Caenorhabditis elegans: one gene and its partners. The protein of the gene in region 3 interacts with the protein of the main gene of each other region in a pairwise test. Each region holds a gene or a part of one and is shown on either strand. Other genes may lie near its edges.

What was found.
Region 1: the proteins of famh-161 (region 3) and C17E4.2 interact in a two-hybrid assay, tested with the Caenorhabditis elegans proteins (one large-scale study listed by BioGRID).
Region 2: the proteins of famh-161 (region 3) and cut-5 interact in a two-hybrid assay, tested with the Caenorhabditis elegans proteins (one large-scale study listed by BioGRID).

Annotation. Positions count from the first base shown.
Region 1 is NC_003279.8:9,406,156-9,413,993, forward strand, and holds C17E4.2 (Cilia- and flagella-associated protein 157), read left to right. Parts: upstream 1-6,150; 5' UTR 6,151-6,158; coding exon 6,159-6,743; intron 6,744-6,790; coding exon 6,791-6,883; 3' UTR 6,884-7,067; downstream 7,068-7,838. Other genes in the region: C17E4.1 (DUF7774 domain-containing protein), read right to left, coding at 2,201-2,278, 2,332-2,688, 2,765-3,004, 3,047-3,280, 3,432-3,549, 3,645-3,746, 3,791-3,939; C17E4.19 (uncharacterized protein), read left to right, coding at 4,459-4,911, 5,097-5,210.
Region 2 is NC_003284.9:10,331,725-10,342,953, reverse strand, and holds cut-5 (Cuticlin-5), read left to right. Parts: upstream 1-4,764; coding exon 4,765-4,803; intron 4,804-5,049; coding exon 5,050-5,331; intron 5,332-5,785; exon of another isoform or gene 5,786-5,914; coding exon of another isoform or gene 5,915-6,198; intron 6,199-6,253; coding exon of another isoform or gene 6,254-6,388; intron 6,389-6,432; coding exon of another isoform or gene 6,433-6,511; exon of another isoform or gene 6,512-6,516; intron 6,517-7,373; coding exon 7,374-7,516; exon of another isoform or gene 7,517-7,610; coding exon 7,611-7,725; intron 7,726-7,817; coding exon 7,818-7,933; intron 7,934-7,982; coding exon 7,983-8,142; intron 8,143-8,266; coding exon 8,267-8,366; intron 8,367-8,413; coding exon 8,414-8,499; intron 8,500-8,793; coding exon 8,794-8,940; 3' UTR 8,941-9,096; downstream 9,097-11,229. Other genes in the region: R07E3.7 (uncharacterized protein), read left to right, coding at 1-30, 535-683; R07E3.1 (Pept_C1 domain-containing protein), read left to right, coding at 1,858-1,880, 1,933-2,034, 2,082-2,147, 2,195-2,290, 2,338-2,823, 2,902-3,080, 3,236-3,312, 3,404-3,583; idpa-3 (Glycine Rich Secreted Protein), read right to left, coding at 5,915-6,198, 6,254-6,388, 6,433-6,511; R07E3.4 (ADP/ATP translocase), read left to right, coding at 11,081-11,206. UniProt on the Caenorhabditis elegans protein: Plays a role in alae formation in L1 and dauer stage larvae.
Region 3 is NC_003283.11:20,525,992-20,537,541, reverse strand, and holds famh-161 (Protein fam-161), read left to right. Parts: upstream 1-3,369; 5' UTR 3,370-3,500; intron 3,501-3,988; 5' UTR 3,989-4,054; coding exon 4,055-4,129; intron 4,130-4,173; coding exon 4,174-5,207; intron 5,208-5,284; coding exon 5,285-5,550; intron 5,551-5,757; coding exon 5,758-5,897; intron 5,898-6,041; coding exon 6,042-6,164; intron 6,165-6,423; coding exon 6,424-6,782; intron 6,783-7,022; coding exon 7,023-7,082; intron 7,083-7,131; coding exon 7,132-7,519; 3' UTR 7,520-7,846; downstream 7,847-11,550. Other genes in the region: Y38H6C.16 (EXPERA domain-containing protein), read left to right, coding at 1-73, 459-712, 980-1,034; Y38H6C.15 (uncharacterized protein), read left to right, coding at 1,318-1,377, 1,560-1,739, 1,793-1,984, 2,616-2,741; Y38H6C.13 (F-box domain-containing protein), read right to left, coding at 9,078-9,155, 9,205-9,286, 9,588-9,667; Y38H6C.24 (Transposase), read right to left, coding at 10,805-10,887, 10,987-11,089.

The DNA of each region.
Region 1 (7,838 bases), on a different chromosome or scaffold from region 3:
GAATTTGGAAATTGCAATAAAACCTATTTTTGAAGTTGCACAGTCAAAAACAAAATATTATATTTCAAAAACGATTCTAAAAGTAAATATTTTTAGATAGAGTGATGCGAATATTGTTGAAAAAACGTTGAAATTTTAAATTGAAACAAAAGTTTACACTTTTACACTTACTATACACTTTTAAAGACTAAAATAATCTGTGAAAATGCAGATATATAACCAAAAGAAGGGACTAAAAGTTATGCATTTGTAGTTATTTGTTTGTTGTTTGTTGTTGACAACATTGGGAAAAATAGAAAAAGTGAGGGGATGGGAAAATGGAAGATAGAAAACATCCAAATGTTCAGTGTAATGGAAGAGAACGGGTTTCTTTCACACAAAATATACGGATACAATTATTTAGAACTCAGAGAAATTATGGGTACAAAATTGGTATTTTTTGAATTTAAAGTGGCACAGTGTGAACTTCATTTTGCAGAGAAAGTAATGAAGCGGTACGGGGGGTAGACCAATTTATTTGTAAGAAATTAAGACCAGCAGTTATGGAGCAGTTTTAGAGCAATTTTGGAGCGGTTCTGGAGCGGTTTTGAAGCGGCTTTGGAGCGGGTTTGAAGCGCACACCTTAACCATCGAACGCTGCTAGTCCTTAATTTCGCACAAAAAATAGTCTACCCCTGCCCCACTTGAATTACTTGCCTGCTCAATTAACATTTCAGTTCTAGATCCTGCCACTAACCCAACGCCCCCTTCTGCAGTGCTCTTTTCTGATCACTTGTCAGTAGAATATAAAATACCTTTCATTCCTTCCAATTCAAATGAAACATTCCTGTAACGCTCCTATAAGACTACAAAAAATGCGATGTCACTCGACACAGGGCCCTCACCAATTGTTGTTTTGGGTGCAAGACGGATTTTTGATTGGCTCGTAATGGAGCAATACTAATAGAGGAAATGAGGTAAATGGTTTCCAGAATTTTCAAACAGTTTATAAGAATTTTGAAATCAAAGTTCAATTAGATCATTGTGAATCTGGAGGAGGTACACGACATGTCATATTTGCCCAAGTCGGATCCAATTGATCTTCATCATCCAGTGAAGGTTTATTCCAAGCGTAGTAGAATAGGTCGCTTCGAACAATGAGAAGAGCCATTGTCGAAAACTTCGACTGAAACTTTATATTTTCAGAAATCAACGTTAAAATTATCTTCTTACCTTTTTCTCGTCAACTGCAAACATTCTCAACTGTCCAGGAATTGAAACGTTCCGAATAAACTCATTTTTCGATGTAACCTTCTCAAGAATTGACACAGCAATAGCCTCGAAAATTGGTTCCACTTTGTCCTTATGATCGTTGGATCTACAGTAACCTCGAAGAATCTCTTGATCTTCTTTTGATACTTCTTTCGAGATCAATGGTTCCATTTTGACAAGCTGGAGGACTCTTGCACTAAAATAAATCGATTCTCCAATTGGTTCACCATCGTTGTCTAGAGTTTTCTCGTTTGCTTTCAGAACCTTGCATTTCTTCCATCCAGAGTTCTTTTTCAAATCTTTTATCTTTTCTACAGTGTGGCCCATAATTATGGGCCACCCTGTAGAACATCCAACATCCGTTGATCTCCGGTAAGCACTGAAATTTTCAGAATAGTTGAAGGTTTGAAAAATTTGGTTAGGTAAAGTTAATGTGCCATTGTGAATATACTTTTCTTCAAAATTTGAAAATGCATTTGTGGAGCGGACGAGATGAGCGACCGAAGATTTGTAGCGGGCCTAAACTTACCAACAGGATCCACGTCAATTTTCCATATCATCTTATTTTCATCCTTCTCAAGTGGCGCCGGAGATACGGGACCTTCAATTTCTTCGAATACACTTCCCATCATTGATTGTCTCATTTCTTTCGGAACTTCTTTCGGAACTTCTTTCGGGACTTCTTTCTTTTCTTGCTTCTGTCTTTCACTAACCCTTAAAATTTCAGATTTGTTTCAAAAGTGTTTCATGAATTTACTTTGACGGAAGCTTCTTCACTTTACCAGTCGTTTCACTTCTAACACTGAGTGCTGAATATTGTTGATTTGTACTTTTTTCCTTTTGGTGTAAGACCAGAAGCCTTGTTAAGGACAACATTTGCCAAGGATAGTTCTAGAGTTGAAAAGAAAACAAACAAATAAGCTTTCAAAAAAAAAAAATTTATTGAATTCTAACATCCAAGCTGAGTGCTATAAACCGATGGAGACCCGGTTCCTTTCTTGATTGACATTCCAGACCAAGTTCCGTCCTGAAAAATCAAATGATATTAATAGACAAACCACTTCCAATTTTGGCACTTACAATAGTGTTCTCCACTTCCTTGTTACGTTTTTCCCACGCGAAATAAGTAAGATCTTTGCGAACCATCATCAACGCCATCATTGGAATTTTTGCCTTCTTTTCATCCACTGCAAACATCCTCAACTCTCCTGGAATCATAACTTGCCGAATAAATTCATTTTTCTGGACGACTGTATTCAAAACAGCGGATGCAATCTTTTCAATGCAAATCTCGGCATTTTCCTCATGATCGCCACAACGGCAGAATGCACGAAGATTAATTTGATCGGGTTTGGAAATTTCTTTTGAAATTAACGATTCTAGTTTGACTACTTCCAAAACCCGAGCACACATTATGATCATTTCTTCTGAAAAATTCTGAAAAAAGACGGTTTGTCATCCCTAATTGAACCTTCACAGTAAATTAAAACCACGATTGAAAAAAAAAACTAACGGGCTCCGGTTCGTCGTCAGTGGTGGTGGTTGTAGTCGTACTTGTATCCTTCTCATTTTCTTTCGAAAATTTACATTTCCGAGCTTTAATTCTCGTTCGTAAAATGGAGGCCTTCTCGATAATTTCTGTCATCCTCTGATCTCCCTTGACATCAACCACTTCCACGTCAATTTTCCAACGCATTTTATTTTTTATTCCTTTTGAACCAGTTTGTACTGGGGCTGATGGACCTTCTATTTCCTGAAAAAAAACTATAACAATATTCTCTCCATTTTTCAGTACCTCAAAGGCGCTACCGTCTAGCACCTCTTTCTTTGACTCTTCTTTTAATGCTTTCTTCTTTTCAAATACAGATGGTGGTGCATTTTTCTGAACATCAGCTTGCGGAACTCCCAAATCACTTTTCACTTTTTCATATTTCTTCTCTTCTCGTTTCGTTTCAACTTGATTTTTCCGATTTGCAGAAGGTCGTTTCACGATTTTTTGTTGCTCAATTTCAGTTGTGCTCTTCTGGTTCTAGAATTAATTTTTAAAAATGAGAAAATTATTGATTTTTTAGTTTTTCGTGAAAAAAGGCTCCCGTGTAGGCACCAAAAGGCCTGCCTGCCTCATCTTAAGGTGACCTCTGCTAGCCTCGTGCCTTATTTTAAAATACTTCTGTCGTTACCGTCTTCGTCTTTGACTTTTCGAGCACTGGAGACACGGGAGCCGCACTTGGGGATGGAGTTTTTGCTGTTTCTGCTGTTTCTGGTTCCTTTCGACTATCTGGTGATTTGGTACGACCACTGCAAAGTTTCAATTATAAAATCGAGCGAAACCATCATTACAGTACCGTGACATTTTCGCGTAAAATGTAATGCCTCAAGTTAATGCATCTCACCTTACGCTGAAATCGACTGATCTACTCGCGCGGGAACTCACGTCAAGAATTTCACCCATTTTGGAAGCTTTGTCTTTGATTTTGGTTTGTCCATTTTTTAATCTGAAAATACTTTTTTTCAATGATCATGTCTGAAAGAAACTCACTTCAAAACAATGTAATGCGTAAATAAGTTTTGTCCGTTTTGTAGCGACTTTATAAAAATAGGAATAAATGCATTGAACAAGAATACTCTTCGATAAAAAAAAGAGGTTCGTGGAGAATGGAATTCACGTTCACTTTTTGATAAAAACATTCTTTATTGTGGAGTATTAATTTTTTGGTGTTTAGAGGCATGTTAGATACCTTCAGGCCTACGTGTATGCCCACCAACGCCCTATTTGTTTGCGTTGGGGAGTGAAATTAATGATAGCGCAAAATATAGTTTCAGGGTAATTGAAAGGCGTTCTTGAATATAAAATAAGGTAGATTAAATTAAGCAATTCTAGGATTTTGTTTTCGTACCTTGCACATATTAATTGCAAAGCTTCGAACACCTGGGACCCTAAACCTAATAGTATAATTACTGTTTTTGGTTTACTCCAAGAAAATTGATTTTCTCCCGACATCTGCTCATATTAATCCTTTTGGCACCGAGAGCTCATTTCTTCTCATTAATGGTCTCTGTTAGGAACAAAGATTAATTTTGTCTTCTTTTCTTCTGATTTCAAAAGTTTAAATACAACTTTCTTTTAACTTTTCAAAAGCAATTTTCCGGCTTCTCACTTTTTAACCCATTATTTGCATAACACAGAATCTTTAACATTTTTCAGACATGGCTTCCGAGTGTAAATCTTGCGAAAATCTCGTGGATCATATTAAGGAAGAGATGTTTCACATTGAGGAGCTAAGAAGTGAAATTGAACAACTTGAACAATATATTCGGAATCTTCAAATCAACTTTGAGAAAATTCAAACTGAAAATGAAATTTTGAAGACACAGTTGGAAGAAAAAGAAACGGAAGCTGAGGAAAGTCAACGACTTCTTGATGTAATCCATAAAGATCGTGATGAATGTATTGAAGAAAAAATGAAAGTTTCAAGATTTTATCGAAATGAAATCAAGAAGGTTATAGAAGAAAATGAAGCTCTACGCAAAGAAAACAATAATTTAAAAGATACATATAACAATGAAAATATCGCAAAGATCGGGAAAAATTTGGATAAATTACAAGAAGTTAAGACAGACATTTGCAAAAATAAAATCAAATTGAAAGAGGTTGACAGTGTAAGTTGGTTTTTGTTGTAAATAGAAATTCTATCGATAGATATTCTGGAGTTTGCCATGAAACTTTTATAGTGCCTAATTTTGGAAATTTGTCGAACGGAAGAGATATCGTAAGCAACGGCGTCTTCCATCTTCGTTGCAAATTTTTTATTTTCAAATTCCTCTATTCAATTGTTTCATTTCAGATCACAACGAATGCATCCGTAACTATAAAAAATCAGAAGATTGAATTATGTGAAATGGAGAAGAATGAGGATGAACTGTTTGAAACCTTCGAGTATATCGAGATAGACCAGTAGCATGGAATTCAAAGTTATTCGTTTTGAATTGCTAAATTCAATTTTTTTATTCAATTGTTATCAGAAGCTGTATAAATTAAAGAATTTATGATAGTTTAAAATAAGAACTGATGGCACGAGGAGAATATCATTATGACATGTCTTAAATTCAACTATTTAAATTTATTCATATTTATATTATATGTAATTCACCTAACTCTTGAATTTGATACCACATAGTTAATCAAAAAGTATATACATCTACCTATTTCAATTGTATTCGATTGTGGACAATATCGTATGACTTCCATACTGTCGAAAATGCCTACTTGGTCTTACCCGTTGTTTCACAACAGGTCTCTTTCAAGATGATGTTCCATGTCGTACTGAAAACTGATTCAATTTTTATTTTCCAGCAAAATATAAAAGTTCATGAAGCCCCAAAAAAGTCACTGATTGTCATTTATGGACAAACAATACATAACTTATGCCTTTGATTAGTTAAATTTTTATTTTGCTCGAGATACTCCCCCTTCAGATGTTTTTCCATTTTATAAATTGTATTAATCCCAGTAATTTACTATCACTCAATACTCTTTTTTTTTACAAGATATTGGTTCTTCTATTGCCCTTCTATTGCCCAATTGGCTCAAATGGCTCCTCAATACAAGGTCAGCTCATCGATTTCAGACAAATAACACAGTACAATTAGCACCTGGAGGCAGACAATGGAAGATAATACTTCCCAAAAGAAAGCTGACTTTTGGGAAAGGGGAGTACGGTAAGACAATGTTGAAACGCCTAGAAACCCGCTGGAATTATAGATATTTATTATTGTCTGAGAAGGACAGCTGTTTTTTCTCCAAGGTAGGCCTAAGGCCCGATTCTCCAAGATAATTGCTCCTGTTTTGTTTGAATTTCGTCCTTCACCGTACATAGTTTTTTTTCAAAATTAAGTTTCGTTTCCAGATGAATCCCAAAATCTCTGTCTACGAAAATTCCTCCAACACTTTGGAGCTGACCCAACTAAAAGCAGAAAACGAATTTCTGAAGCATGAGCTCGTGGAGCAACGAAACATTTTCGAGTCAATGCTCGGAAAAGAAAAGTTTGACTTGACTTTGGAGATCATGCTTTTGAAGAATCAGGTCGAGGAATCGTTCAAGGAAAAGAAGATGATTTTGGCTTTTTTTGATGAAAAGGACAGCGAGAAGGAGCAAATGGTTTTGAAATTTACCAGAGAAATTGATGAGCTCAAGGAAATCATCGAAGACAGTGTTTCGGATAAATTGGACTACAATGAAGAGACAAAAGCATGTCATTCGGAAATTGAAAGACTTGAAGATGAATTGAAAAACCGCAAGAGGGATCTTAGACGAAGTGCACGAGAAATGAAAGCAATGGAATCTCAAAAAGATTATTTGATGACAGAGTGTGTACAGCAAAAGCAGGCGATGAAACGATTGGAATCTAAAAATCAAAAGCTTTTGGATCATATGACAGCAACTAGTGAAGGATATCAAAGATTGTCAAGAAACAATGAAAATCTTCTGAAGGTTAGTTCTTGCGATCTTGTCATTTTCAATATTAAGTCAACTTTCAGACGAATGCATTGTTGAATGAAATGATCGGCAGATTCATGGCTCGAGATCAACGACAAGTTCAGGAAGAGGAAACTAGTGTTCTGAAAAAGTGATTTCTGAAGAACGTTCACAACAGCTTGCTCATCGCCCTTCATCGACTGTCAGACCAACTTCCTTTTGTAGTTTTCTAGTTCTTCCATCTCCCTGTAACTCCATCGATCATTCATGTCATCTCATCATTGTAATAATTCAATTTTCTAGAAATCCCTTTCCAGATAAATAAATGAATTAAACCGTATTTTATTGTGTATCTGAAAATGTCGAAACAAGCAGAACGTCATGTGCATTTCGATATCTAACGACTTTGATCTGCCTATTGTTGCAGGTGTTTTTTAAGAGCACCTAGATAACCAATAGGCCCACTACTCGATCGACAGAGTCAATAAAACGTATTGCAGTGGGAACAATTCTAAGAGGTCATTCACATTGTCCCCCAATCGGTGCTAACTATATATTTCAACTGCTACGTATAGCAGTAAAGAACATCGCCTTAATTTTTATCTATCATACACTGGCAGCCTGCCAAAAATGTTTTTTGGAAAATGATTAACCAAAACTTTGACTGAATTTTTTTTCAAAAATCTAAAACAAGTGTAAAGAGGCTAAATTTCTACTGAAAAGCGTTAATTCTTCTCTTCTTTTCTCCTTTTGTCTCTCCTGGAGAGCGTAAATACATAAAAAATTAATTTGAATTAATTTTTTCATTAAGGAAACCAACATCCTATACGACTGTATTCTTATTCCTGAAAAATTCACTGTCTCATCAAAAAAACCACAACTCTCAACCTCTTATCTTATCATTCTTGTTATCTGACTAGCTGCCATCGAATATTGTTCTAGTTGGGATCTCAGGTGTTCACTCGCGATAAATATGATATGATAAGTTGTGATATGTATTGTCGGACAGTGAATCTCTATAAAAATTCCGCATTGAATTTTAAAAACAACATAATTTGGCTAATACTGCACCTGTACAGCGAGATTTTTCAGAGTAATTACTAGTTATGC
Region 2 (11,229 bases), on a different chromosome or scaffold from region 3:
CTAGCATTGATTTTCTGAACGAAATTCATGGTGAGCGGTTATTGTGGCAAGACACTTTTTCTATGGGACGACAAGTTAATCAATATGTAGTAACAACGCAAAACTATGAACTAGTTAAATGAAAAGTTAAAGTTTTAATTCATATAGTTACTCAGACATACTCTGGATAAGCAATACTTATTGAGCCTTTAATATTAAGCTTTTTTTAATTTCATAGATGCAAAATAATAGTGTACGTCAGTCAGTACGTAATTAAACCTTTCTAATCATTAGCAAATTACTTTTTTGTTTTACGTTCGTGTTGACCGCGCAGCCGACAAAAATCCAGGTCAACATTGAGCTATTCACTTATTTAAAAAGTGTCTCTCTATATGTGCTAATCACAGTTTTGGGAGTACTACGGTGTTAAAATGCATACTTGTTGCTTTTTCAAAACTGCAGTTGCGCCATACTTGTGATTAACAACGGAAGTCAACTAGTTTATACATACATATGTTTATTCATACGTTTGAATACAATTTTTCATAGTTTCAGAATCACATGCAAAAACCAAAGAGAGCAAAACGAACGACGACAAAAAGACACAAAAGCCTAACGACAAACGAGCAGCGGTCCAACAAGTATTCGCCGAAGAAGAACATCCATCTTTCAATCAGAATACTAGACCTATATTTGCAAACTAATTTTTATTCAATGAGAAAACTGTCATCATCATGACTCTCAATTTCTCCAAAACTCATAACATCGGGTTATCGATTTCTCTCCTCATACGCATTCTCCGTCCCGCTGAAATTTGATGACTAAGTATTCATTATACATATGTTCCGCGTGACTCCTTTTTTTGCTGACTGTTTAGCTTTAGATTATCCTTTAACTTTAAAATGCACTTAACCCGCTCTCCAAAATTCTAAATAAAACACCCAAAAATACTTTAGTTCATTCATTCCGGGTTTTGAGCATCAAAATTCAAACATTTGCAAGTTCTATTTGCAAGATTTTTGTAACTTTCGTTTTGTTTAAATGCAACTTCAATTGCATCAATTATCTGTATCAATGACCTTTTAATTTGAATCGAATTCCGCACGAAGTGCACTACCCAATCTTACGTGTTTATTCACCCGTTTCATGTTTTGTCTCCCATATTTATTTTGGTGTATTTCTTTAATTTTGGATATTCAGTTTAAATTTGAACATAATAAAAATGAATGATTTATACAATATTGTTTTATCTCTGGAGGGTTTTCTGGAAATTACATATTCAATTCCTTTCTGAAGAATGAAACTTTAGTTACAGACCAATTCTATGATACTGAAATGACCACATATCACAATAAAAAATTTTCGAGCCAAAAAAGCGGATAAACTCAATTTTGACCTACTTTCGGAAAGTGTTGAATCAAAAAAATGTTTTATGTTTTAATTACGTTCGAAATTGTCATATTACGACATTTTAGTGGTTCAAAGTCTGAATATGCGACAGTGCTCTGGATATCTCTAAATGGGGCGCAAGTCCCCGCTCTTTGATTTGAAATTTAAAAAATTACTCAATTTTCCATAAAACTTATCATGATATTCAGCAATTCTCAACAAAACTATTCGAATATTTTTATAGGTGAAAAATAATTGTATTTTTTTCAATTATGATTTCTTCTCACTAGTTTTGATGTTTTTGTTCAATATTTACAACAATCATAAGATGACAGAAACAAAATGTTCCAGAAAAAACTAACACAAGTTGTTCTATGCCCGAGCTTCGTCTCTTCATGACCCATATAATCATTTTAGATTCATTGATAATGAAGAGACACAAATTACTGATAACTGAGTTGCCAGTTTTCCTTGCTCGCTCGCTTGACAATGGTTGCAATCTCTCTGTTTAAGTGAGTTTTTGATTTTTTCAAATATCAATTTCATAAAATTGTTTGATTGCAGGCCAGAAGACGAAAAAGCTCCAATTAGCCATGTAGAACATCATCCTCTTGCAGGAAATCATTGCTCAGAACATGCATGCAGAGAACAAAAACGATTCAATCTGTAAGCTTTTTCAAAAATGTTATAATCAATAATTTTTCTTGTTACAGACAGAAAAGACACTTGGTACTTTTTACCATTTGGCTAATGTTTATTATTTTTGTTGTGCCTCTGTTGTAAGTTCCTCACAGGTTTGTAACGTATTAATTAGGATTGATTATAGTACAAAACTTCAAGCGGAAAAAGTGAGTCGTAGAGCACATACCAACGAAAGAGGGATTCAAAATATTGCCAAAGAGTACATTGCTTACACCGAGAAGTAAGAATACCCTGAATAGTTTTAATTTAAAACTAGTATCATTTCAGATTCGACAAAAGCTATGCCACCAGTCAAGAGTCATTGAAACGATTAAATGCATATTACAACACCGATGAAAACATTGCCAATTGGAACATCCAAAATGAACATGGATCAGCTGAATATGGTCACAACGACATGTCGGACTGGACAGATGAGGAATTCGAGAAGACCCTTCTACCAAAATCGTTCTACAAAAGACTCCACAAAGAGGCTGAATTCATCGAGCCAATTCCAGAATCCTTGACAGCGAAGAAGGGAGAAAGCAGCTCCCCATTCCCAGACTTTTTCGACTGGAGAGACAAAAATGTTATCACCCCTGTCAAGGCACAAGGTCAGTGTGGAAGTTGCTGGGCCTTCGCTTCTACCGCCACTGTCGAGGCAGCATGGGCTATCGCACACGGTGAGAAGAGAAACTTGTCGGAGCAGACCCTTCTTGATTGCGACTTGGTTGATAACGCATGCGACGGAGGAGACGAGGACAAGGCATTCAGGTTTGTATTGAAAATTAAGAGAGTACGAGAGCCAAAATTTATGAGATAATTCTTGAGTTCCAATAATCAATTTTTCAGATACATTCATCGCAATGGACTTGCAAATGCAGTCGATCTTCCATATGTAGCTCATCGCCAAAATGGTTGTGCAGTCAACGATCACTGGAATACAACCAGAATTAAGGCAGCTTACTTCCTTCATCATGACGAGGATTCTATCATTAACTGGCTAGTGAATTTCGGGCCTGTGAATATTGGTAAGATAGATAATTGCGTGTTTTCGTATTTTTTATGTCTGTGATAGAATAAGTAAGTCAAAAATTAAAAAAAAAAAAGGACTTGTAATATTTTTTTTTCTGCACACATAATGTAGATGTCCATAATAATATCTGAAAAAAAAACAATATTCCAGGAATGGCGGTTATTCAGCCTATGAGAGCATACAAAGGAGGAGTTTTCACACCATCCGAATATGCATGCAAGAACGAGGTATACTACTTTTTCTTTGTCTTTTTTCTTATCAGAATATTATACAATTTTTCATTCTATAGAATTTACTAATCAGTATGCAACTTGATAGGTAATCGGACTGCATGCACTTCTCATCACTGGTTACGGAACAAGCAAGACTGGTGAAAAATACTGGATTGTGAAGAACAGTTGGGGAAACACTTGGGGAGTTGAACATGGTTACATCTACTTTGCACGTGGTATCAATGCGTGCGGAATTGAAGACGAGCCAATTGGAATTCTTGCTTAATTTGTGGTTTAATTCTTAACATTTCCCTTGTTAGTTTTTGAGTGTTGTTTGTATCTGAAAATTCGTTTTCTCGCAAAATTCCCTTTTACTCTGATCGCGTTTTTTTCTTGCGTTTTTCTCTTATGATGAATCTTCTTCAGTTGCCATATTACAATTTACTGTAACTGGAAAAAAGGTGCTAGAAAAAAAAATGCTCTAACGCATCCATTATGCGAAACTTGGCACATCAAACTCGATACAATGTTAGACTCTCAACTGGGGTTTCAGCTGAATTATTGTATTGGCTATGAATTCAACCGAATTTTAGTTCTTAGATACCTGTGGTGCTATAAGTTTTAAAATAGCCGAGGGATTAATGACTATGTATCGGAGCCAGAATTTTAATAGTACTTTATTGACAACTGCTTTAGTCTTAATGGGTTAGTTATGCAGACGGTTCCTACACGCCACATCTCACTGATGTTCTCTGTAACCCTGATGTAATTTTGTGTTTTATCAAGTAATTTTGTTTTTTATCAATGATTGAGTTTGTGGAATATCCGCACAAACTTTCAGATTCTGTAGATTTGGAATACTAAATAACCCTTGGCATTTCATTCAAATTTAGTGAAACATATACATACGACGTACTCGATGTCGATGGATTACTTTTAAAAAACGCAGAAATTATTTCATCCAATCAATTTCATAACAGTTTCCTATTTCCGTTCGTCAAGACTATCGGGGCAGTTGAGGCACTTTCTCAGAGATTGACGCGATAGCGCCTGGTAAATGGAAGGGGAAGGAATAAATAGAATTGAATGGTTTTGATGCATATCTATGCATATTTCGAGAATAATATGCCTTGTTCACTCACCGACTGGATTCCTTGTCTCAACTTCATCCGTTGTTCTTTTCTCCCTTGTTTCCCTTTTCAAGAGCATACAAAGCTTGGTTGACTAACTTGATGTTCTCTTCTCATCAAAAGGCCACTACCACAAACGCTTTTGAGAAAGGATAGTAGATGATGGACATTATAGGAAGTCATCTAGTAGTCGTAACCGAAGCCAATTCATCAGATTTATAGGTGTTTTCTCATCATTTGTTCTGTTTTCTTTTTGGTGATGGTGTTCTTACTAGATTTATTATTATGTGATTAAACTATGCTTTTTTTTAATTTTGTATTTTTCCAGATTTTGTTCATGAATTTTATTCTTGCGGTATTTGCAATAATTCTTTTGGTGAGTTTTATCAACTAATTTGATAGATGAAACTATTTTTTTTTGTTTCTAAATCTCCTGTAAGGAATATATCCTCGTAATATTAAAGTAACAACCCATGTTTTTTTTTCAATATTCAACCATATTTCTAAACTTTGACTTGAATGGGAATTTTTTATTGAAAAAGGTTGGCATTTCAAAATTTCTTTTTTTTTTGTAAAAACATAATTATATAATTCTTAGCATTTATTCAAAACATTTTTTCAGCAAGCCGTCCGGGGTGAAATAGACAATGCAATTGTTGGCGATCCCTCTGTAGAATGTGGAGATGATTTTTTTGAGGTAAACATTTATCATTCATGCTCTTGTGTTGGAAACTTCATTATTAAGGTAAAATTCGATACTCGAACAACTTTCCACGGGCTGGCTTTTGTGCAAAACCATTTGGATAACCCTGATTGTCGAAGTTTTGCATCGAAAACTGATTCTGCAAAAAACAGTAGCTTACGGCTGACATTCGATCAGTGCGCAATTGAAAAAAGACATTCGGTAAGTGAATTCGAGTGGATTTCCGGTTCCTGGTGGTCATGTTTCGAACAGTGGGTTATCTTGATGTCCGATCCCAATAGAAATTTATTAGAGAATCGGAAAAATACAGATACTTTAAAAAATTTTACTTTAAAAATTTACACATTTGTTCCTATTTTTCAAGTTTAAAAAGATTGTTTCACTGTAAAGTTTTATCAAGTTGACTAGAAGCATTGAAAATTTTTTGTCCTCCATATTGTCTATGTATAAATAAACAAAAAAATCTTCAATATACTTAAAAACAAAATATGTGTTATGAAAATAAAATTCGGAAAAAAATTGGAGATCCAGAGAAAATCGAGCAAAAACATTTTGGGGATATCTCCTACCCATAAGTGCCCATAGGAATTTTAAGAGAATCCATTAAAAGTATAATGCAAATTTAATTTTATTCATTGAGCTTTCACATTTTAGAAATAACAAAGCTGTTTATTCACAAAATTCACAAACATGAAATGAAAGCGTGGAATTTACAATACATAGTGGAAATAGTTAGGAAGTTAAATAAGATAATTAGGATAAATCATCAAGTAGACGACATTGTTTAGTTTGGCATTGGTGGCCATCCTCCTTGTCCGCCACCTCCGTAAGGTTGTCCACCATAACCTCCTTGCTGTCCTCCCATTGGTTGTTGTGGTCCTCCTTGGTAGGATCCGTATCCACCACCACCTCCCATGTTTCCTCCTCCCATGTTGCCTCCATAGCCACCACCTCCGTATCCACCATCTCCACCGCCTCCTCCTCCCATTCCGTAGCCGCCTCCCATATCACCACCTCCTCCGTATCCGCCACCTCCGTAGCCACCATATCCGCCGTCACCACCTCCTCCTGTAATAAAACATTTTAAGCAAAGAACAAGACCAAAATATGCAAGTTTACTTACCGTATCCTCCTCCCATGTCTCCGCCACCTCCATAGCCGCCTCCTCCCATGTCACCTCCGCCACCATATCCTCCTCCCATATCACCACCTCCACCGTATCCTCCACCACCATATCCTCCCATGTCACCGCCGCCTCCTGGAATTTTGAGAAAATATAATACAACACAGTTTGAAGCTTACCGTATCCACCACCTCCTCCCCAGTCTTGACCGAGAGCAATGAGAGCGCAAGTTGAGAGAATGAGAACAGAACGACGCATCTAAATTTTTAAACTATACATTCATACCTAGAAGTGTTCATCAAGACTAAACAACAACCACAAATAATAATTGTCAAACTGTGAAAATAGGAAAATGAGATGAATTGATGATGGCATCTTATCAAATGCTCGGCTTATATAATCGGTGAGAAGAGCCGGCTCACGAACGGTCTTAGCGGGGCGGTCGATCATAAAGAACCGGACATTGTTGAGCAAACGATCCGGCAGAATATAGAGGGAGAGAGTGAGAGGTAGGCTTCCACTGTTATTTATCAACATATCAATTGCAATCGGGGAAAATGTGGAGGGAACTGATGAAAAACTGATATGTGGACAACTTTTTGACGGGCGAACTGTTAGTACCGGAATTTAAGCTCCGGTTATGGAGGTGTTAGCTGAAAGATTTTTTGCGAGTGTTCTAGTTTCCCGAAAACTTGTCTTGTAGTTTTAATACATTCTTCAGCTTTCTTAAACAAATTTTTTCATCAAAGACAGACTGCATAGGATCTTAGGATCTTATCTTCAATCACTGAATCTATGGCGTATTCCTATGCACAATAATAATGATATTAGGTACTTGTGTATTACATATATTTTAAAAATTAATTGTTTAACTTATGAAATAAAAACGTGTGGAATGCTTTTGTTCCTAAGCTAACAATTCTTTTGTTCCTTTTGTTCCTAAGCTAACAATTCCTAAGCTTAACGAGAAAAAATGCGTATCACGTTTAATTTTTAAAATGGCGGGGATATAATTCACAAGTTTCTAATATTACACAATAAGTACATTACGTTGCTTCTTGTTGTGATAGGCGTTGAAAAATTAAAAAAAAGCACCAAAAATAATATAAAAACATTTCAGACATCGCCTCGCGGTCTCTTTCTCTCAACAAATGTAGTCGTGGCCTTCAATCCAGAATTCCTTACAAAAAACGATCGCGTGTTCAAGGTGCAATGTTTTTACATGGAAATGGAGCGTCGAATTCAAAAAGTGATTCAGATTTCGTGAGTTGTTAATGTTTAATGTTTTTGTAATTGATACATATTCCTTTCATTTTCAAATTTTTTTTTAATGAATGCATAATTTGATTTTGTTTAGTATGCCTCCACCTACAATGCACTCAAAGCAGCTTAACATGCCAGTCTGTAAATATGAGGTGTTGGATGGATCGCCAACTGGCCCACCTGTTTATTTTGCAACTGTCGGTCAGATGGTCAGTTCTAGAGATGCTGATAAATACAAACAAAAGCACACTACAACAATCATAGATCAAAAAGAAACCAATTTCAATCACCCGGTTTTTAGGTATATCACAAATGGACATGCGACACGGAGCACGAAAACACGTTCTGTATGCTTGTTCACTCGTGTTTCGTTGATGATGGAAACGGTCAAAGAGTACAGCTTTTAAACGACAAAGGGTGTGATATCAATGAATAGAGTCCAATAAGCTCAATCTCTATATTTCAGATGCGCTCTCGACAAATACCTCCTCACAAATCTTGAGTATCCCACAGACCTGATGGCGGGAAGGGAAGCCCACGTATACAAATATGCCGATAGAGATAACATGTATTTTGATTGTCAAATTTCGATCACAGTCAAAGAGCCTGGTCTTGACTATTGTGATGTAAGTTTGAAAAGACGGGAAACCAAAAACGTACAAGGAAGTAAGAAAACCACTGAAACCAAACCATAGAACAGCATACAAACTATAACTTTTGAAAGATTAAAGTGAAAAGTTAACTGTTCAGGTGCCATCATGCCCAGATCCACCGAGAAGAAGAAGATCCAACACACTACCAGCTCCCGACGATAATATTACTGCAATAGCTGCTCATATTGAATATGAAGGTTCTTCAGAAATGGTTTTAATAGAGTTAAGATGAGAATATTTTCAGACTCTGAGATAATAAGCGATTACATCATCCCCAACGATGACATCATCTCGCTGAATTGGTTGCAAAGGAATTTTGATATGAGAATTGTAAGATTGATTCAGAACAATATTTAAAAAAAAAACTTCATTATCAACTAGGAAAATTTGGATAGCCTTATAGGTGTTATGGGAGTTACCTAAAATATATCCGAGTCGTTATCAAATTTTATTGTTTTTTCCCTCAGATTTGGCAACAGAAACTGATAATTGATACAAAAACAGCGAGTTTCATAATGAGAACATAATTATTTAAATGGCAACATGCTTGCGGCAGTGCGAGACACCGTTGAAGCACGTGTTTTAGTAAAACAATTTACCTTTTAGCTAATTAAAATTTTTCAGAGCGAACTTTGCATGACAGCTATTGGGACAACACTTCTCGTTTTCCTCAACGCGTTCTTGTTTATAATCTCCTTGGTTTCTATCGTGCATGTGTGCTGTTTTCGAACGTCCCCAAAACTTGAGAAGACCAAGTCAACAATGTTATAATTTCCGTTATAATCACTTATTTTATTTATTCACACTATTCTACGTTTAATAACTTCTAATATAAGTGCAATGCTACTTCTTTGAGACTCATCTTTGAGTCTTTGAGACTCGCTTCGTTTACTGTATTATTTTTAGATAAATCTTTGGTTTATTTTATCCTTTCTTTTTTTTCTTCTTCTTTTCATACAAGTTTAGATGTCATTGAAAACGTGGTAAATATCATTGAAACGTGCGCAGAAGTAATCAAATAATTGAAACCAGTTTCCAAAATAATGTTTATTTTGTCATGGAGTTGTCATCAAGCTTGATTATTTGATTTTATCACTGCATGTCGGACTTCAAAATGTTCAGATCGTTAACAATTTCGTTGAAATTTGATAAGCTTATCTGAATATGTTTTTGGTAGACTAATCTAAGAAACACTGCTCTTTCTTCTCCATTAATTTCAATTTTGTGCACGTGAAGTAACACGTGAAAACTTCATGGTCGTATAGGTGCCACTATAGTTTCCGAGGATCGAAAATAAATGTCCTCGCAAATGGGAGACAACTGGCTACATCGCTAACACTACACTACACAGTGGCTAAATGTTATTTTAAAAATCACCCCATTGCCAGTTTAGTATAAAAGGTGTCATTAAAATCTAGGGTATTTCCTTATTCAAAGATCGACAATCCTTGTTGGGATATGTCAATCTGTTTACTTCCGGAATTTCCCGAAACGTGACAAAATGGTGATTCCATTAGGCCATTGTGATCACAGTTTCACACGGAAGTTATTCTATTGTGATGAATTTGAATATAAACGTACAGTATCCGGGTAAGCAACATCAGAAACGTTTGAGTGGGTTAGCTCGTCACTAAAAGCCAAATCCCCTAAATTCTTTCATCATATTTTTAAAAATCGTCTTATTTTTTAACTTAAATCAATCGATATGGATAGAAAAACAGTAAGTTTCTATTAACATTTAGGTATAATTTGAACAATTAATAGCTGGTATCCAAAAGGAAAATCTGTCGTGCTTTGGTGGAGGTTGGTGTTAAGGTTGCAATAATTCGGTAGCCCACAAACATTGCTAGTTTAGCCTAATTAATTTTAGAGAGTAGTTATTTAGATAACTTATTTGGTCAAAGTGATGAGCCATGAACTTCACTATTGTGTAGAAACATTATATGTTTTTGTGGACGTAATGTACGATAAGATTATTGGTAACATTTTAGTTAGTTGAGAACAGTTTTTAATGTTCTAGGTTTTTCTACCATACTTTTCAAACACAACTTAAATTTTCAGAAAATGTGGTTTTACACTAATTTTCAACAACTTTTTTGTGTGATTTGGAGAATAAAATTACCAACTTTCATGTTCACAAAAATTTAATAACATTAAGAAGAAGATAATTAAAATTGAGATAAAGCTCTGTTACAACGAACTTCTCAACCCCCGCATCCGCTCTAATTTCTTCTCTCTTGCAATCCGTCCCAATTCAGCTGCCATTCACGTGCTCGGTTCGTGGGGTGTTTCCTCGTCGAAAGCGACCTCCTCACCCCACCATTCTGCACCGCTCTCCTCTTTCTTTCCTATGCTTTCTTGCAAAGTGTCTGCGCAAAACCGTTCTTTTTCGCCTCGTTGTCTTTGTTAGTCATCACTGAGATTTCATCATCCTTGATAATAGTTTGACATTAAAGAAGAAATAGCAATGCCTGATGGTGTGTGGTGTGTTTTGATAGGTTTTGATCGGCTAAAAAACTGAAAATATTTATAGTTCACACGCGTTCGGTTTTTTGAATTCTATTTCTTTTCTTAAATTCATGTAGGTTTCACCACGTGACGCTCTGAACACTAAAGCGGAAATTTGTATCATCGGAAGAGAAGACACTTTACCCAACAGCTGGTGGGGTGATCATCGCAAAAACGCATTTCCTCGATAGTACGTTATCAATCGTCGCCATTTTTCTTGTCTTTCACCATTGACTGCCTATCATACCATTGCCGCATTTTTAAATCAAGTTCATTCGCAGGCTTGACTTTTCTTTTTTTGTCATTTATGACGCAATTGTTTCCCACTTTTAGTAGTGGTACGCTTTTGAATGTATATCACTCAAACATTTTGCAGCTCACCGCTCGTCATCCGCCTAGCGGAATGGCTTCGACGTCTGCCACACTCGATGTTCTGGAGACAAGCAAAAAATGTTTGGCTGGAAGTGCCGCAGCTGCAATTAGCAAGACTACTACAGCACCATTTGATCGTGTCAAGCTCGTTCTTCAGGTATGGAATTTACAATAGAGAGG
Region 3 (11,550 bases):
GGATGTGGTCACTTGCTCCACGGGAAGAGTTATGCTCATTGAAATTACTCTGAACTTTTTAGCTGTATATTTGGTAATGTTTTTTTTAGAAAAATAATTAAAAATTAACAATACAAATTTTTAAAAAATTGAAAAAAATCTGAAAACAATTTTAAAGAAACTCTAACATACTCGAGTTTTGAAATTTTTTTTAATTCTGAAAATTGTTATTCTCAAGCCTTGTTAGGAAAATTTTGAAACGTTTATGAAATTCTGAAATTTTCAATAATGTTGGAAGTATTTCTAAAATTTAATTTTTTTTAAATTCTAAAACTTTGATCATCTGGAAATTTATGAAACTCTAAAAATTACTATACTTCTAAAACTTTTGAAATTCTGAAAAAAAAATGAACAACTCATATTTTTACAATATTTAAAAGGGGTCCAGGCCATTTTTTAAAATTTCCCTCAAACTTCAGGCTCTGAAACGTTCCCGTCACGCCTTGCTCCTGGCTTTCACAACAAGTGCATTCGTATTCTGGAAGACATTCTGGTACCTTGTAATGTACATAAACCCACCACCAGGAACCCCATCATTCTTCACTGATAACTACGGATATTTGGGTATTACACTGATTTTCTGGATTCCAAACGGCGTTTGGGTTGTCATGCCATTTTTGGCAATGTGCTCACTGTGGAATAAACTCGCGTTGCCCGTCGAGTATCAAGAGCAGTGAGTTTTTTGAAATGAATCATAAAATGTAGTTTGTAGTCTTTTTGCCAAATAATCTCCTACCAAATGTTTTTTTTTAATTCTTCAAGTTTTAGAAAATCTGAATAATCTGATAAATTTTCGCAATTCCGAAAATTATAAAAAGCATTTGAAAACCTTTGAAATTCTGAATACAATTGAAATTCTAACAATTAAAAAACCATTCCTATTTCATGGAAGAACCTATTCAGTCAATTTTGAATTTAAAACTTTTTTTTAATTTTTCAGAGAAAACAACAATTACGAGAAGCCGCCCGGATTATCTACACTCTCCTCGCCATAATAATTTATTGCCTTTTTTTGAACGTTTTTTTTTTGAAGGTTCCAAAAAAAGTTATTTATTAAACGTGATATCCTTTTTTGAAAAATTTAATAATTTAATTTCAAAACTTTGAATTTGCTAAAGAAGTTAGCAATTCAAAAACGTGACCCACTGCTTCATATATTTTTCTTCAAAAAAAAAAGAGTTGCCAACAAAAAATCGATTATTACTTCGATTTCCTGTAGCCGAATTCCAACAAGAAACAAGCAGCAATTGTTGGGTTGTTTTGCGAAGATTTTCGAAAATGGATTATATTCAATTGATGTTCATCTCGATCACTTTTTCAATTGGATTTCTTATTATGGTGAGTTATTCGAGTCAAAATGTGCTTAAACTTTGGTCTAAATCAAAGCTCAGGTAAAGCCTAAGCCTGAGCTTGGGTCTGGTTCTGGGTCTGGGCCTAAGCCTAACCCTAACACTAAGCCAAAACCTAAGCCTAAACCTAAGCCTGCTAAGCCGGACTCTGCCTGAAATTGACTTTTCCAGATTTGTGCCGGCAAAAAGAAGCAAAAGTCAACAAAGCCTGTGGTTGAATCAACCTCGGCTTCAAGTTCTGTCAAAAATGGTGCCAATGCTGCTCCAGACTGCCCAGTTCCACCACCGGGGCTTAGATCAGTCGGCAAGGACACTCAGGACCCGAATATGCCGCCAAACAAGGAAGACAAGGTTACCAATTGCCCAACAAGAAAATTAAAACAAATCAAAGTCTGAATTTTCAGAAACCAGAGTCCAAAAAGTCAGCGGAAAAGCTTTCGAAAAAATCGGACAAAACCAAGAAAAAGACGACAGTATCGAGTGAGGATAAGCCTGAAAAACCGGAAAAATTGACCGAAGAGGAGAAGCCGAAGGAAAAGGAAAAAGCGAAGGAGAAGACTGTTCCAGTTCAATCGAAGCTTCGCGAGGGCGACAAGGTAAGCTGAGAATTTTTGGAAAATTGGGCTTATATGAGGTCGCCGCAACGACGCCGGCGCCGGACTCACTCATGCCGCATGTATCCGTATGTATAGTGCGGCGCGGAACTGGGAATGTGGCTACCGCTTTTTTTCAAATAACAATCTTTTCTCACTACATTGAGTACACACCAAACGACTCGTTTCATTTACTAGCGTGCTCATTTACTTGAAATCCCTAACAATGGCTCAATCCCTTTGACGCTCATTTACTAATGTTTTCGCCACAAAACGTCATAAAGGTTGGATGGTAAAATTGTAAACATACCAACTATGCTGATATATCAGCATACTTGGTACATCGTTAATGTTACTTACATCCATTTCTCTGTTAGTAAGGAGATGTTATCTGTTATCTGGCTTGCACAAAACAAATTGGACAAAAGAGAGATGTCCACAAAGCGACGCCGACTCCTAAAAAAATCAGGGAGACAATACCGCGGTCTGCGTATCTCCACAGGCTCACCTGCTAGATGGCAATCAACCAGCGTTCAAGTAAATGAAAACACTAGTAAATGAGGGCTTGCCTGAGCATAGTTTTCCGGTCAAATTAAACATCTTAAACCTTCATAACTTAGCGTTGAATTTTCAGAACGCGGTTGTCACAGATCCTATTGTCACACCTGAAACGGACGAGTACCCCACACTTGAAGAGGATGGCGATAAGAAGACGGAGAAAAAGACTTTCAAGAAGGATAAGACTGATAAAAAGAAGTAGACTAGTATGTGGAATAAATGATTTTTGATATTAAAAATAAAATTTCTTTGACGAAAAATGTTCTCCTCGACATTTTATTGGTTTTCAACTTTTTTCTATTTTCCGGCAAATTGGCAAATCTCGAAATTGCCGGAATTTGCTGGAATAACGGCAATTGCCGAAAATTTTCGGAAAATTGTTGTTTTGCACTTTTTTTTGTAAATTCCAGTTTCATTGGCAAACCGAAAAATCGGCAAACCGGAAAATTGCCGGAATTGAAAATTTTCGGCAATTAAACAAACCGGCTAATTGCCAAAATTGAACATTTCCGGCAAATCGGCAAACCGGCAATTTGCCGATTTGCCGAATTTGTCGACGAAAAAATTGCCGCTCGCCCCTGTTGTCGACCTACATAGGTCTGGATACCTACAAAGTTCCCACTAGTAGTACTAATAAAAGGGGAGGTAGAAGATGAGATTAACGATTTCCTGAATTCCATCTCAAGCTGTCTCGCGTTAATTATGCACCACACCCTACCCTTTTATTTCGTAATCTCTCCCTCCGAGCCACCCATCTTCACCAACAACTACTACCACCTGCCGTACGTTTCCATAACAACCTGGGCCTCACTCCTGTCAAACTCTTTTTCTCGGATTGCTCTCTCTCTCCCGCTTTTTGTGTTCTACTCAATTTTGAGAACACATTTATTTCGGAAAATAATATTTCTGAAGACATGCTCTAGAAGTTTTTGACGGCAGTAGTAGTAGTCGTATATTTCCTGTAAGTTTTTGAATTTGTATGTTTTTTTTTGTTGCTGGTTTCAAACAATTTTTGTTTTCAAACGTATTTATTTTAAAAATACGCATGTAAATTTCCTGCAAAATCTTTTTTGTCAAAAATTAAAAATTTATCTTCAAGATATATGTTTTGTATTGAAAAATTTGAATTCAAATTTCTCTTTGGAAAAATTTCAGCAAATTTGTGTTCCGTAGTGACGTTAAAAGTTGTTAAAATGCAAATTTTTTCAAAAAAATTTAAAATTTTCCATTTTAATTTCCTTCATACATTTTTTGGAAATTATTTGACTTTTGCGCCAAAATTTATTAGTATTATAGGCTTACAATTAGGATTAGGCTTAGGTTTTTCACCAGAGGAAATTATTGAAAAATAAAAAAAAACAACGTAGAACAAATTTCACCAAATTTTGAATCTTTGTTGAAACTACCACAATTTGAAATAAAACAAACTCATTAAAAAAATGGTTCCAGATTTCCCCATGGAAAATCCACAACTTTCGTATATTTCCTAGCATTTCCTTCCTAATATTCCACAAAATGGCTCCACCGAAAGATCCACCAGTGCTGAGGAATCTACAAGCCACAGCGGACTTGCTAGACGCTCTTCAAAATGTAAGTTCAGCTTCTCTTACAGTACCTCAAAAAATTCGTTCCAGGACCCATCATTACTCAACGATGAGGAGTTCATCAAGCGTCTCTCAATTTTGCGTCAAAAACACGAGGAGACCACCAACTTCCTTGCCAAGAAGCTCGGCGCCCCACCGTTGCCAACTATGATGACGTCATCAGAAATTACACAGCATAGGTCGAGCTATAAGGTGACAAAATCTTCGAGTTGTCATTTTCAAGATGAAGCTTCTCCTTCTGACTATCAAATGCCACGTCATCTAGATCTGAAACCGAGATCTTCAGAAGTGAGAGTCCCTGTTCGGGCCGCACCGGAGCCTCCGAGGGAGCAGTCTTGGAGTCAAACTGAGTATGCCACGTTGGCTCACAATCAAAGCCACGAGGCACTTTATGAGGATCCACGTCATCAGGTTCATGCTACATCATCCCATCAGAATCCACGTCATCAAAGCTCTCGGCACCACAATATCGAATCTACAGCACCATCACAGGTCTCTGTTACGTCATCAGTCCAAAGTGTAGCGGCTTTATCTGGCCAAAATCCTCGTCAGCAGGTTCATGCTACGCCATCCCATCAAATTCCACGTCATCAAAGCTCTAGAACCCACCAAAATTCACGTCAACAGGTTCCGAGTGCTACATCATCAACTCTCCAAAATCCACGTCATCGAACATCCAGCGCGTCACGTCATCATTCGACAAGAAATGCCACGTCAGCAACAGTCCGGCAAATTTTGGCAAACGCATCGACCCGGCACCTCAGCTCCGCACCACACATCGCCACTTCCGTCGCCATGCCATCAGGGTTACTGTTATCTTCTAGTAATACGAAACACGTGGCATCTTCTAAGTCAGAAAATCCACAATTTGCCACGTCATCACACGTTGTTGAGGAGAGTTTTTTAGAGGACGGAATGTCAACGACACGGGAAGTTCCAACAATTCGGGATGAAGTTGTAGCGGGCGACTTAAAGCTTTCTAAGAATCGATCCAAGTCTATGCATCAGCTATCAAAGTATACACCACAGGTTACCGTACCGAAGCCGTTTCAGTTGAGCTTGAGGTAAGTAGCTTACAAGGGAAGTATTTCAACTTAGTTGCGGACTTCTGGATGTAACCTAAACTATAATTTTTTTTCAGAAAATCCACTGGAAATACTTACGCAAAAAAGTTCATGAGCGGCCTAATTACGGAAAAGCAAAAACTTGAGGAGGACGCCAAGAAAGCATTGGAAAACACAAAATTTCGGGCAAAACCTGTCCCCAAATCAACATATCAGCCTACAAATACATTTGCGACGGAGCAAAAATACGTAGAAGCCATGAGGAAAAAGGTGGCGGCGAAGGCTCGGAGGAAGTTTGAAGTTCAGAATGAAATGGTCCGATCGAAGAGTGAAGGAAATTTGGGTATGGTTTTTACATTGAAACTAGGATTTCTTGCAAAGTTTTAGGAAAACTGTTTTTTTTGTTGGAATAAACCGGAAAAATTACTAGCTTTTCTCATAGTCAGCTATTTAAATTTTAAAGGAACATTATGAAATTGATTATTGCCTACCGCAAATTAAATGTTGAATTCAAATTCAAAAAAAAATACCATTCCAAATTTTTTTACAGCTTCAATAAAACCTCTCGGGTACGTACCTCCATCAACATATATCTCACCAATTCCAGTGAAACCAAATGCCAGAAGCCGCAGTGCAACTATGAGAGCGACTATTCTTATTCAAGAAGCTACTACTCCAAAGGGAATTAAGGTAAACAAAATTAGAAATTTTGAACAATTAATAATTTTATTTAGAAACAAAAATTAAAAAAATTTAATGTTTTGGTTTAGAAATTTAGTTTTGTTTCATCTATATTCATCTACAAATTCGTTGTCAGAATATTCAACATTCCAGAGCCACCGAGCCCAGTCAAACCTAACCCATCACCTACGTCACGGGCGGTGCACTATGGACGCCTCCGCCGTCTCACTACACCGGCGGACTTCGCCACCGGATTTTGAGAAAATCCATGCAAAAGTGAGTCTAAAAATTAGTTATTTAAAAAAAAGTTGAGTGAAATTTTAAATTTTGGTAAAGTTTCAGAAAACCCAAATAAGTAGTTCTTTTTTGTTATTTCGTTTTTTTTGGAGCATAAAAACTATGTATTTTGCAAATTCTATGGATGCATGCTAATTTTCTACGTGGCACGATATTGCCTGGTAGGCACGTATTGGGGCTCAGAGTAGGCGTAGGCCGCCTTGAAGACAAATAGGTGATTATATAATTTTTTTTCCAGATCACCGATAACTTTCGTAACACAAATTCAAAACCCTCCACTGTGCCGATACCTTTCAAATTCGCATCCAGAAGTAAATCAGCAACTTCGAGACACGGAAATTGTCAAGAACAGGCTCCAAAACCATTCAAAAAATCGACTGAAAACTTGCCGAAAACCTCGAAAAATCGAGTGCCCAGCACTCACGCAACACAACTTCGCGAGGAGCTCAACCGAGCAAAAATTGAGCTGAAAAAGTCTGAAAAATCGGGAAAAAACGGGAATTTCTGGGCTGAAGATAATAAGCAGAGGATTTCCTCGTTTTTGGGAGCACGGAGCAAAACTGAGGAGGATATTGCGATGAGGACAAAGCAGAAACTGTAAGACTTGTTATTTTTAAAAAATATTATCAAAATTTGAAAATCGTTGAGGTTTGTCAAATTCAGCAAAAAAAACATTTTTCCAGAAAACGGGCAGACGCATAACCGGTCACTCCCTCAAAATGGTTTGAATTTCAAAAAAAAAAGAGAGAGACACAGACAGCGTGTCGCTCTGCCTGTCTGCGTCTCTTTTTCTCATGTTCTTTTTTTTTAATGTTAAAACAGTTTCCTGATTTTCAGGCAACAACAGCAGGAAACAACTCAAGAATACATGAGGCAGCTGGCCGAGATGAAGCAGAGGTTAGTTTGATAATTTTCGGAAGTTTTGAAAACCTTCCAAAAATTTCAGAGTGCTCAACGGCCCGCTAATCATGGAAAAACAGACGGCCCTGGCGCAGGAGCACCGTCTAAAACGAAAATTTGAGGAACGCATGAAAAGCGCCAAGGGGCGAGGTATAGAAAGGGTCCAAAGCCAGGAAAAGCAGCAATCAATCGGGAGAAGAAGCTCAGAAGTTAGTGGAAGTGGAACTTTTGTGGTTGACAAGGGTTATGAAGAGAGTTTTGAGTCGGAAGACAAGTCTGAAAAGTCTGGAAGTTCCACGCCATCTGAGTCTGGAAGTGGTTCTGAATCCGAGAATGAATCCAGGTCATCAAGAAGCTCAAAGCCAAAAAGTTCAAAATCAACGTCTTCAAAATCTTCAAGCTCACGATCCACTTCATCTTCCTCGGAAGCTTAAATGCTTGTTATTTTCTTTCAATTGACTAGGCTTTTAGCAGTTTTTATTTCAAAGAGTTTCAGCATTTTCCAAAAAATCGAAATTTTGTAAGACTTTTTTTCCGTTTGACCGCTCCTTTTTTGGTTCTTAACTCAAATTAGGTGCTTTTTTTTAATTTCTTGGGTAAAATTTTCGAAATTTGTTTTTTAATATAAAATGATTTATTGTAAAATGCTGGAGTTTCAGTTTTTCTTGAGTAATTTTAAGATGTGATTTCTTTGCGATTTATGAACAAATTGGTGATTTTTATTCAGTTTTATTTTTTAATAAATTCTCCATAAAATTAAAGTTCATTTTTGAAGTCCACCAAAATTGTTTACAATTTTTTAATTCATAATTTTAAAAAATGTTGAATTTCACGCCAGATCTCGAAGAATTAATGATATTAAACTTTTATAGAAGTTACGATTAATTTGATTCAAACATTATGTGAAGTGGAAACTATAAAGAAACTATGTATCAAATTATATATATGAAATTAATATTAAATTCTTATTTTTAAACGTTTTAAATGAAAGATTGACAAAAATTAATTGGAAAAATCATGACTGGAAAATAAGTTGATCCCTCTGGCAAATCACGCCGGCAATGTAGGTTGGCAAAAGTTCGCAGATGAACACTTTTTCCGGAATGTCAGTGTCGAACATTTGTAATTCCTTGTCTGGGAACTCACTGAAAATTTGATATCAATGATTTTATTTTAAAGCCAAAAAGATTCACTAACGAAATGTCGTATTCCCAGTCGGGAACATGCTGGAACTTCCTGAATTGCGGCTGCACATCATATAGCTGCATAATTCCATCGATGTCCATTTCCACAATTGTTCTAAATTTAAAGACGCTTCCAACTGGCTTCCAACCATGAGCTTTATAATGCTGTAAAACAATAAATAATGCTTTCTCACAGGTCGATCTGAAAGTTTTTCAGTCCATTTCTTTCCAAAATATGTGGTAAAGCAAATAAGTTTTAGTCATTTTTTTGCAAAGTCTCTGACGAGCCAAACTCGTGAGCTGAGATACTTTCCTTGGAATACAATAAACTTTCTTACCTTGAGCTGTGACCAAGCAAAACCTGGTGAACAACCGCGAAACAAATATTGATCTGATATAAACGGTGTCGTCCATTTTAGGTGGAGTTCATACAACTTTGGCACAGTCGATATAATCGTTTGGTCCGGCACACCTTGGAACGCCAATTTATAAATTTTGATGTAGTCTTCCTCTCGAAGATTTCTTAGAAATAGCTGGCTTGGGTGGTTATTTCTAAAAATAGTCATAAGCTTTGCAACTCTCCGCCATGAGAACTTCCGCTCTTCACTGCAATCCAGGTGAACTTCCTTCACCCAGATCTTGATTTCTCGTTTCTGAATTTCAGCAACCAGAAGATCAAAAATTGATCGATTTGTGGATTGATAGAAAAGCTGAAGATCCAGTCGTTGAACGGTGGAGTTTTTGTTTTCAAAAACTCGGCAGAAATTTTGAATTGAAAACTTCTCGAATCCAAATCTACTGTTAGTTCTTAGGTCGACAATGTTTTTGAATGGAATTTTATCCACCGCCAAGCTGATGTAGTGTTGTCTGAATGCTTCATCAGATTCTGAAAACACTTTTTAAAAAATAATGTACAGCGTTCAAAGCCTACTTACAACAAATTCCAGGTTATCGAGGTGAGTTGGCAGTTTATCGACGAGCCTCATTTCTTGAGATGCACACAGACGAGTGTTATATCTGGAAAATAAAAAATTTGCGGGCAAGATGAAACAACTAGTTATCAAAGAATTAGGCATGAAGGTAGGCTAGGTAGGCATCGAATTTCAAAATGATACTGCACAAAAAATTTCCAAATATTTTTTATGGTGGGTCGAAATTGCGAAAGAGCCAAACTTTGCTAAAATCTGAAATTATGCCCATTTTTCTTTGTCGCAGCCAATGGAGTTTTGAAAACATTTTAGGCATTTTTTGTGAAGTCTCACTATGAACTTTTGTGATTGTGGACCTGTTTTAGTCTATTTCAACATATAAAAAATACCTGTCAGCAAATCCCATGTTTTTTATAACTTCTCTTTTGAGTTCTTCAGGCAATCTTGGCCAGTATTCGAAGGATTCCATGACGTTATTATTTAGACGGATGAATTGAAAAAAATTTGAGCACGCAGACAAAAAACTGAAAATTATGCCCTTCTACTTCAGTTTCGTGTGTGAGTTATCTCACGCCCTTTTGTTCTCCTAGCAACCTCATCTGTCCAGTGTTGTTTTAATTTCTCAGTTATCTCTGCGTCTTTCATCTAATATATTCATTGAAGTTCGAAAAAGGAGTTGTGTAGTATGTGAAAAAAATAAATAAATTTTTGGATGTTTCAGATGTTTCCTTGACAACCCGTGATGCTTGAGCCCAAAGCTGGAGATGCCTCCTCCTAGTTCCAGTAATTGCAGGAAAGGCATCGGAGAACCTTCGTAGTAGAAAAAATTACAGAGTTCGTCATAACAGAGGCCTCACCAAGAAAGCACCCTTTCTTAGACTAGTCTAGTTCCAAAAATTCCAGTTAAAGTATTTAATTTACAGTAAACTCCCTGTATACACGTGGTGTCCGAGTGTTCCATTTCGGTTTGATCTATTTAGATCTACAAAAATTGCAGGAATTGGGACGCAGAGTTCTCAACTTTCACATGGTGCTTACGTCACATTTTTTTGGGAAAAAATTGCCGCATTTTTTGTAGATCAAATCGTAGTGGGACATCCAGGCATGACATATGTATTCCGGTTAATTTCAGGGTTTGATGATGCCGTTTTTCAATTAGCTCATTTCACTCTTTCCCTCTGAAGCTAGATCCCCAAATAATACCATGGTAACCAAAACGATGATAATATTGGCAACACAAGAATATTGCGCACCTCTGAGTATGTTATACTATGTCCGTAATATCTGCGTCTGGCCAGGGAAACCTATTAATTTGGCCAACATTTTGAAGACTCAGAGACCCATCAGTGCATCGTTGGGCAGCAAAGCAAAGAGCTAATCTGCTGAGTTTGCTTAATGTAGTCATAGAGAATAAGATTTGTTCCTCATAAGATTTTCATTAATTTAAACAAAAATTTGGGAAGCAACCCCCCTTAGCTTTAGGAAAGAAAGACTACTTGAAAAAACTTTTTAATACAATTTGAATCACATTTATTATCAATTAACAGATAAAAAATGAAAAATGAGATCACACATCTTAAAAGGATAAAAAACAAAACATTTAAAATCAAGATCGAAGTGATAAGCCTTGGAACATAATGCGTTTTCCATTTTCTTGAATACTACCATTATACGAATCAATTAGAGTTTCTGAAATCAAGAAAATTACACAGTTGTTAAAATTACCAAGTTGGATTAACTCATGAAATTGATTTAAAAAAGAAGTTATCAAAACGAAAAATCCCTTACCTTCACTCCTAAAACTGCTTTTAAAATCAAAACCTTGAAATAACAGATAAAAATTGATAGCATACACGAAAATCATCAAAACTGCACCGATGTTAACTGACATTTTCCAAATCTCCAACACTTGGCTTCGTTTTAATATATATTCACCACCCTGAGCACTAATAGGACACGCCTACTTTTTCCAATTTCCTTTTCCTAGGTTTGGGGTTACGAAATATATGTAAGTACACTTTATTTTATGTTTGTAGTGAATTCCTAAACAAGTGAGTCACCTGGAAAGAGCCTTATCGGTGATAAGGAAATTGTGATGTGATTTTAATGTCTGGAGTTTTGTCTTGATAAGAAATGATTATTGTTAAGGTGATCAGGAAACACGAATATGATTCATAATTAATAAATATAAATCGCGGAAAAACAGAGTCGTTTTAGAGTTACATAGCAAATAGAGTGTTTACTAATTCTTGAAATTTCTGAATTTGATGGTTTTCTGTGGACCAATACTTTATTTTAAACCTTATCAATGAGCATTTTAGGTATGTTGTGTTTTTTGCCGTTCTTTTTTTT